Drosophila melanogaster: one gene and its partner. The protein of the gene in region 1 interacts with the protein of each later gene in a pairwise test. Each region holds a gene or a part of one and is shown on either strand. Other genes may lie near its edges. The genes, in order: Syt12 and CG42597.

The links.
Region 2: the proteins of Syt12 (region 1) and CG42597 interact in a two-hybrid assay, tested with the Drosophila melanogaster proteins (one large-scale study listed by BioGRID).

What each region holds. Positions count from the first base shown.
Region 1 is NC_004354.4:13,357,118-13,362,355, forward strand, and holds the start of Syt12 (synaptotagmin 12), read left to right. Parts: upstream 1-2,130; 5' UTR 2,131-2,320; intron 2,321-5,238.
Region 2 is NT_033779.5:22,064,057-22,067,552, forward strand, and holds CG42597 (uncharacterized protein), read right to left. Parts: upstream 1,288-3,496; 5' UTR 1,205-1,287; intron 1,141-1,204; 5' UTR 1,138-1,140; coding exon 637-1,137; 3' UTR 548-636; downstream 1-547.

The DNA of each region.
Region 1 (5,238 bases):
TGCCGTTATTTGTATGGCCTAAAACTTTTTCGTAATGCCCGATCTGTTCGGGGCGGGGGGGTTGTGGGGTGTTGTGTGGGGTCTGGTTGGTTTCGGAAAAGCCTGTTTGCAAATTCAATTGAAATTGCATTTGAAATCATTTCGGCATTTGGCATTATTATACATACTATACAGTGGCACTCACAACATAGTTGCTGTTTGTGTTAGTCGCAATTTACCACAATTTGTACAATTTATTTGCTTTCCCTTTGACTCTTCAACTCGGGAATGCCCCTTTGTTTTTCTGTTTTCTGGTTTTTATTTTTATTTATTTATTTTTTTTATTTGATTCGGTTGCATTTCATTTGCAATTTAGACCTTTTCATTTTTGCGACCCCAGCACTCGTTTTTATTGTTTCATTTTAGCCTGAAATGCGGTTTTCCTTTTCCTATTTTATTTCTCTCATTTTATTTCATTTTATTGTGTTGTATTTTTTTTTTATTTTTTTTTTTTTTGATTTTCTGCCCACCAAGATTTGACCGACAATCGAGAATATCGAGCATCGTGGCTATAGCCCCCTTGTCCGGTGGAAATATCGTTCGCCAAAGTGTCGATTGAAAGCAATTTGATTTGGCGAACAATCTGCTGATTGCTGCTGTCAGAGGAATTGCGAAATAATTCTGTGAAAATTATCCAAACTGAGTGTGCTTTTAATCGTTAGTGGTTTTTTTTCTCATTTTTTTTTTCTTGTATTCAGCATTTTCATTGCGGCGTGGCTCAGCTGGGGATTGGGATATATGCCTTTCGCCTTTTTGGCATTTCGGCAGTGCCAAAAATTGCGTAATGGCCGCAAAATCAAAATGCGGCAAGTTGCAAAATGTGAAATTTATTAGGCGCTTCGGGGCAACGAGAGAGCGAGAGATGTAAAAACATTTCGCGCCGAGCATCCTTTGGGGAGTCACGCTAGATTGACCACGAATTAAAGCCATTATCGGCCGAAAGGCCGACCCTTGTGTGTGTGTATCTATCTATTATTCAGGTTTTCGAGAACTCACCCCCCTTCCCCCCCCCCGCTGCACCCCACCGCCGTTTACCCTGCAAGCCGAGAGGAGTGACGGAAGGCACCCCCATTCCCCTACCCGCACCTATCATTCTTTTAGTTTTTCATTCTCCTGCTTTCTTAATCCGCTTAAAGCGATTCGGATTCGGCAAATGTTAAAATTCCAGGATTAGGGATTGCAGTAACATTGAGTAAGGTCAAACTGTTCTATAGCTTGCGATCCACAAAAGTTACTCCATGACCAACAGGCAGGGGAAGTGGCTAACAGTTGGGGGAAAGTAGCCGAAGTATCGCTGTTACCGGAAATGGGCATGCTGTACAACGGCATTGCCAAATGGGAAAAGTATAACAGTTACGATATATGTTATATGCCTTCCAAGCCGATTTCAGCCCCTTCGTAGGACAGATATGCGCCGCACGTGTTTTTGGTGGAAGTCGTGACACGAGCGAACTGGAAAATATCGCCTAGAACATATTATTCTTATTCGTATATTCTTATTAAAATATTATGAATTCAGTACAGACTTCGAAAACATTAATATTCTAAGATGCGCTTGTTTTCTAAGTAGATTTACGCATTCTTACAATTTATTTACGTATGTAAAAACATTATATGCCCAAAGAACATATTTTTTAGTTAATTTTATACTTTTAAGCACATTTTAAACAAGAGTAATTCTTTTAAAACGTTTTGTAATAAATTTGGTAGTTAATTATTAGAAAGTACAAGTTCTTTAAGATAAATACATTTAAATAGCAGAAAATTTCGCCATAAAAAGCTCGCTTCTATCATTTATCATCACCGTTTTATGGATAAACCTAAGTCGCATTTATGGCGTTTTCCTTTAATTTTATAGAATTTAGGTGAAGTTTTGGCTGTGCCCTTAGATTATGGTGCATTTATAGCATTCGCCAATAGTTAACCTTTGTGTCAAAGCTTGTCCCAAAAGCTCGCCTTTTTTTGCCGACGCAAAGTTCGTTAGAAAGGACGAAGCTTGCATTGTTTTCAAAACGAAAGCTTAAAGCTGCAAAAACGCATATCAAAGAGAAAGTGGAGCAAAGTTGTTGCTGTGTTTTGACCAGCTTTCCCCCAGTTGGCCGCGAGTTTTGGCACCGAACGGTCTACGAAAATGAGCGAATTTTCCGCCCGCACTTCCGCTTCCTGCTCTTCCTCTTTCCGCAGCGTTACTACTTGTTATTATTTGTATTGTTAAATCAGAGTGATAAACTAATATATTTGCCATTTAAATGTGGCCAAATGATCAGCAAGGATAAGTAAGGTAAGCAATTGCTAGTTCTTCTTCTGTTCCGTTCTGTTCTGTTTTGTTTTGTTTGGTAAAAGTGCGAGTGGGAAAAATGCAGGAAAATCCAAATGAGCTGCGTTTCGGTGTGTCTGTGTGCGTTGCTCTAGATTTTTGGCCTTTTATCTTGAGCCTCCATCTCCCTGGCTCTTTCCCATTTCTGATTACTTTGACTTTCGCCCGCTTTTCACTCTCCATTTCACAGTGAAAAGTTTTTTGATTTCTGCTCTTTGTTTTTTTTTCGATGGAAATGGAAAATGGGGTAAGGGCTACAGTTGTCACTCGCCGAACGTGACTGGCGTTCACTTTTCACAGCTTGTCCCATTTCTGATGGCCCAAAAGAGGTCATCTCTGGCTAATTCGGTGCGACACTTTCAGGCCCAAAACCAAATATAGTGTATATAGCATATATATATGGTATATGCGCATACATACATATACATATATCAGTTATCGGAGGAGCCTGCGTGAGTGTGTGTGTTTGTGTGCACCTGCAGCAACAAAAGACAGAGCAAAGAGCCAGTGGAATGACCTCCCAGTAGGTTAATGAAAAGTGGCACTTCAGCTGGCTGCTGCCTCTTGGCCCGGCTAAAAGTTCTTCTAAGCCACAAGCGTTGTGCTACCAACTTGGCCCTACTAAACTAGCCAAATTTTAATGGCCAATTACGACTGAAATTACCGACAGTTTCACCAAATATAATGCTCTTTTTACTGCCTTCTGAAGGGCATTGCTTTATGAGGATTATAAAACAGATTGTGTATTTTCTGTTTTATTTTGTAAGTTTATCGCAGCTAAGAACACCTCTAATTAAAGAGCATCTCAAATCTGAAATCCTTTTAATTTGTTATTGAGTTGCAATCAAATAATATTGTTAAAAATGGAAATTAACATTGCTACAGCTGCAACTCTAGTTTCTTTTAAGCAATTACATAGTAAATCCTTTCTCGTATTACACGGTATCTAATAGGCTACCCTATGCTTTGGTAAATTAATGTAATGCTCTTTTACCCAAGGCATGTATGTATAATTAAACCGATTTAATTCCCAGCTCAATGAACTGGATACGATGCATCTCCGAGCAAATTAATGAGTACAGAGTAGAGAAAATAAATAATCAGGCTTAATGGATCTGGCAATATACAGTGCAGCTTCCCTAAAAGAAATATGCGATAATTCAGTTCCAAATCACAAAGTTAATTAACAATACTAAAAACACATTTTGGATGATTTATGGAAACTAATTTCGAAATTTTGGATAAAAATTTCCAAAAAATTTTAAAATAATTACATTTTTCAAAAATGCAATATCTAAGAATGGTTTTTTGGGTATAACTTCACTAAAAATGGTCATAGAGCAAAACGAATTAACATTTTATGCTCCCTATTACCGATACTAACCATTCCTATCACTTTTTAACGGATTTTGTAAAATTTATTTTTGGCCAAATTTTCGCATTTTTTGTAAGGGGTAACATCATCAAAATTTGCAAAAAATTGAAAAATCCTAGAATTCCCAAATTTGAATGCAAATCGATTGGGATTCAAAAAACAAACTCAACGAGGCATGACATTCCATATTTGGATTATTATTTTCAATGTTTTGATTAAAATACCGATTAGTTTTTTTACAAAAAATCAGGGAAACCATTTTTCCAAAAATTGAAATAATTAAGATCGGTTTTTTGGGTATAACTTGGTTAAAAATGCCCTCACAGCAAAAAGAATTACCATTTTATGCTCCCTATTACCAATACTAACCATCCCTATCACTTTTTAACGGATTTTGTAAAATAATTTTTTGGCCAAATTTTCGCATTTTTTGTAAGGGGTAACATCATCAAAATTTGCAAAAAATTGAAAAATCCTAGAATTCCCAAATTTGAATGCAAATCGATTGGGATTCAAAAAACAAACTCAACGAGGCATGACATTCCATATTTGGATTATTATTTTCAATGTTTTGATTAAAATACCGATTAGTTTTTTTACAAAAAATCAGGGAAACCATTTTTCCAAAAATTGAAATAATTAAGATCGGTTTTTTGGGTATAACTTGGTTAAAAATGCCCTCACAGCAAAAAGAATTACCATTTTATGCTCCCTATTACCAATACTAACCATCCCTATCACTTTTTAACGGATTTTGCAAAATTTATTTTTGGCCAAATTTTCGCATTTTTTGTAAGGGGTAACATCATTAAAATTTGCGAAAAATTGAAAAATCCTAGAATTCCCAAACTTAAATGCAAATCGATTGGGATTCAAAAAACAAACTCAACGAGGTATGACATTCCATATTTGGGCCATTATTTCCCATGTTTTGATCAAAATACCGAATATTTTATCACAAAAAATCTGGGAAACTATTTTTGGCAAAAAACTCAATTTTCAAGTTGGCTCTTTTGGCTATAACTTGACTAAAAATGGTCACAGAGCAAAAATTAGTACCATTTTATACTCCTTATAACCAATACTAACCACCCCTTTCACTTTTTAACTGATTTAGTAAAATTTATTTTTGGCCAAATTTTCGCATTTTTTGTAAGGGGTAACATCATCAAAATTTGCAAAAAATTGAAAAATCCTAGAATTCCCAAACTTGAATGCAAATCGATTGGGATTCAAAAAACAAACTCAACGAGGTATGACATTCCATATTTGGATTATTATTTTCAATGTTTTGATTAAAATACCGATTAGTTTTTTTACAAAAAATCAGGGAAACCATTTTTCCAAAAATTGAAATAATTAAGATCGGTTTTTTGGGTATAACTTGGTTAAAAATGCCCTCACAGCAAAAAGAATTACCATTTTATGCTCCCTATTACCAATACTAACCATCCCTATCACTTTTGAACGGATTTTGTAAAATAATTTTTTGGCCAAATTTTCGCAT
Region 2 (3,496 bases), on another chromosome or scaffold:
TAAGTAGCGCTTTTTATTACATAATGGCCCAAGAGAGAGTCAATCGCACATGTGTTCTTCACAGAGTTCGAGCCACTTTCTATGTTAATTGTTTGGTGGCACAAATGTTACTAATTACACCCACACCTTTAGCGCAACTGCAGCTTATGTTTCTCGAATTTTCTTGCCTAAGGGATCACGGATGTCCTTTTGTATAATAACCGTAAGACATGATTTGTTCGAAATCATTTTCTCCAACGGTAATTATTTCACTCAGATTCCATTTAAGCGCGCCCAAACAGTTAAATGTCTTACAAGTTTCCGCTCCCACCCGTGACATATTTAATTGCCCTATGGCTTCGAATCGAGACATTAGAAAAACCTGTTGTTCTTCTTAAGTAAAGGTCGTATGCTAACATTTACAAAGGTGCATCGCATCCTTTTGTGAATATCGAGCTTCATTAAGCATTGGGGTGCATAGATATCAAAGACTATATTTGACTATTTCACTGTTAAAAGAACAAAGAGATGGGTACTTGAAATTAGAGATAACCAATTTTTTTTTTTTGAGCACCCTTTTAATAAAAAAGTGCACATAAACTAGAAATGGTATCCCAAATTAATAGAAGGAACCGAAAACGATGTGGGTCCTTTTGCTTATTTAAAAGATTTCTGTTTGGACGAAGGACGACTTTGTTGTGTGATGATTCTCCAAGACTGTTGTGCCATTTTCCAAACTTTGGCCGGTCGATTTGTAATGGCACCCACTATCACTAAAAAGATAACTCCCAATAAAATCGTGCCGATCTCCTGGAAATTAGTGTTTGTACGGCTGCCCAGGCCCAACCAATTGGTTATAACATTTATAAAGTTGACGAGAAGCGTTTCCATGGAAAGCCATACGCCCACCATCAAAGTTTCGCCAATAAGGATGGCGATAATGGTCTCAAGGATAAACTTTCCCCACCGCGGAATGTTACTCCAGTGCGTGGGTATTACCTCTGTGTCGCACAGCAGATCCATCACTGATAAATAGAATAACTGGCTACCAAAGACGGGGGTGTCTGCAATTATACCCGGATCTAGATGTATGAAGAGCGTTGTGTGGAGCACCATGTGCACAACGAAGGCCAATAGAACAGGCGTGGGACTGGTCATTTCCTTAGAAAGGGATATTGGTTAACTATCGGGTATTGCCTGTATATAGACGTTAGAAGTGACTTGCCTGCGCGGTCTTGTAAATATGTATAAGTTACACAAATTTAGAATGAATAAGGTAAAAAAAACAAAACACATTGTTTTGTTTGTTTCAATTTAAAATGCTTGCTGGGTCGGAGAATAATTCCTGTATTGCGTTGGCAAGTTAAATGAAAACTTTAGGGACTTCAAAGTTGAAAACCAGCTGAACTCGTGGAAGACTAAAGCAGATAAAAAATTGATTGATTTTTATGAAGTCTACCTTACCTTTACCACTACCTTTTAAAACGGATTATACCTACTCCCTTATCTTTTGTAATATGTAATGTCAATATCTTTATGCGAGAGGTTAGTACGTGCTTCATTGTTCACTTTGCCTGTAAAAATTGGCTTTGGCACTGAATGTTTAATTCTGTCAGCTAAAAAATGCATAAATATCATTTTAATTAGAAAATTAGCCGAAAATATGCAGCTCACGTTAATCGTATGACGTCGTCGTCGTTGCTATAGTTGCAACATGGAAACGAAACTGAATCGCAATTGAAAACTTAGGTGGAGGGGATACGAATCTCATGCAATATCCAGAAGATACATCCCCAACGCACTCACCTCGAATGCGGAGCACCACTTCTGGCTCCACTCCGTGCTCCTAATACCGGAAATCATTTGCATTTTACTTAAATTAGTGTTTCTTGCAAACAATTGCTGTAGAATTATTTATATAGCAGTACCATTTAATTGTGCCGCCATTTTAAATTCCAATTAGATATCCAATGGAAGTCCGGCCAAAAGCCAACATCACTAAAAAGAAATTGGAATTTTTATCAAAGCAAGGAAGTCGTAAGCTCACTTTGATGAAGTTTTGTCATTTAGCCAAATAAGAATACGCGTACTGCTCGCCAGACCCACACAAAATGGTTCGCTTTTGTGTGCGCATATTTTTTTTCTCCTGCTAACTCAGTCACCTGTCGTGGATTCTAGCTTATTACGGTTTTTTGTGCTTATTGAACAGCCGCCACCAAAAATTCCAATATCAAAACTCATATTTGCCGATGTCGAGCGAAGCAAATTGAATGAGGAACACTGAACAGCTGCGAGAATTTAACATATTTGTAATATTACAAAAACTGCCAGTTGAATATCCGGTAGTTTTAGTATTAAAAAAAAGTTCATATAAATATGATTCCTGCTGAGGCCTACCTATGATTCGCATTTTTGAATAATTCATCGAATTTACAATTAAACTTTTTATACCCGATATTCGTAGAGTAAAAGTATAAAAAAATGGTTGAGCGCTTACGGACAAGACGTAAGATCGCAAATAAACTGGAGTCTGGTGGCAAAACAGCACATGCTTTTGAGCGATTATTGGCAATTCGCACCATTAAATTGAGCAAGGGAAAATGTTCCGAAGACAGTGCAGAGCAGACGAAGTCTAGTGATGATTGCAAGGCACAAACGCGTAAGGATGTAAATATCGAGGTCAAAGAGACTTATTCCGGCGATTCCTCGCCTAACAGTGAGAGCGAGAATACAGCCCAAAACGATCCGCAAACGAACGTTGAAAGCGATGAACGCGTATCCAACCTGGAACAGCTGAGTCGAGCAGTGTTAAAACGGAACGACATAAAGAACTTACTGGGTAAACCTATTTTCGCGGAGGCTGTGATTGGATCCTTTGTGCGGCTAAATGTTGGAAAAGTCTACTCCATCTACGAAACTATTGCTCTGCATCAGGACAGTAAGGACTACCGGGTAGACGGTAAGCGTACCAATCTGATCCTGGTCTTGAGGTGCGGTTCCGAAAAGCGTTATTCACGTATAGACGTGGTTTCAAATCAGCCAATTACACAAAAGGAATTCTTGTTGTGGTTGGGAACCAATCTACGCCATCGATGCACTTCACCAACGCTTAATGACAACGCTTCCAAATTTTAACCAAGAAACATAAAAAAATAATAAACTTATAACATTTTCGAAAATTGTGGCCGCTGCGGCTTTTCTGTGGATTGTAGGCGTTATGGTGGACGCCGAGTGGGTGTGACGTTAGAGTGGGTGTGCCCAATATGTTTTTGGTATATCGATACCCGGTACTCAGCTAAAAGTATGAACGAGATATTTTAATACTTTTTTGGAACAATATGCAAAAAAGAAGATAGAATGCTATAGTCGACTTCCCCGACCATCAGATACCCATTACTCAGCTAGTGTGAATACAAACGCGAAATTTCATAATTTTTCTGGGATATTGATAGATATTGGGGAATAAAATGAGAACACATTAAAAATTGTTCAAAAGTGTGGGCGTGACCGGTTTGGC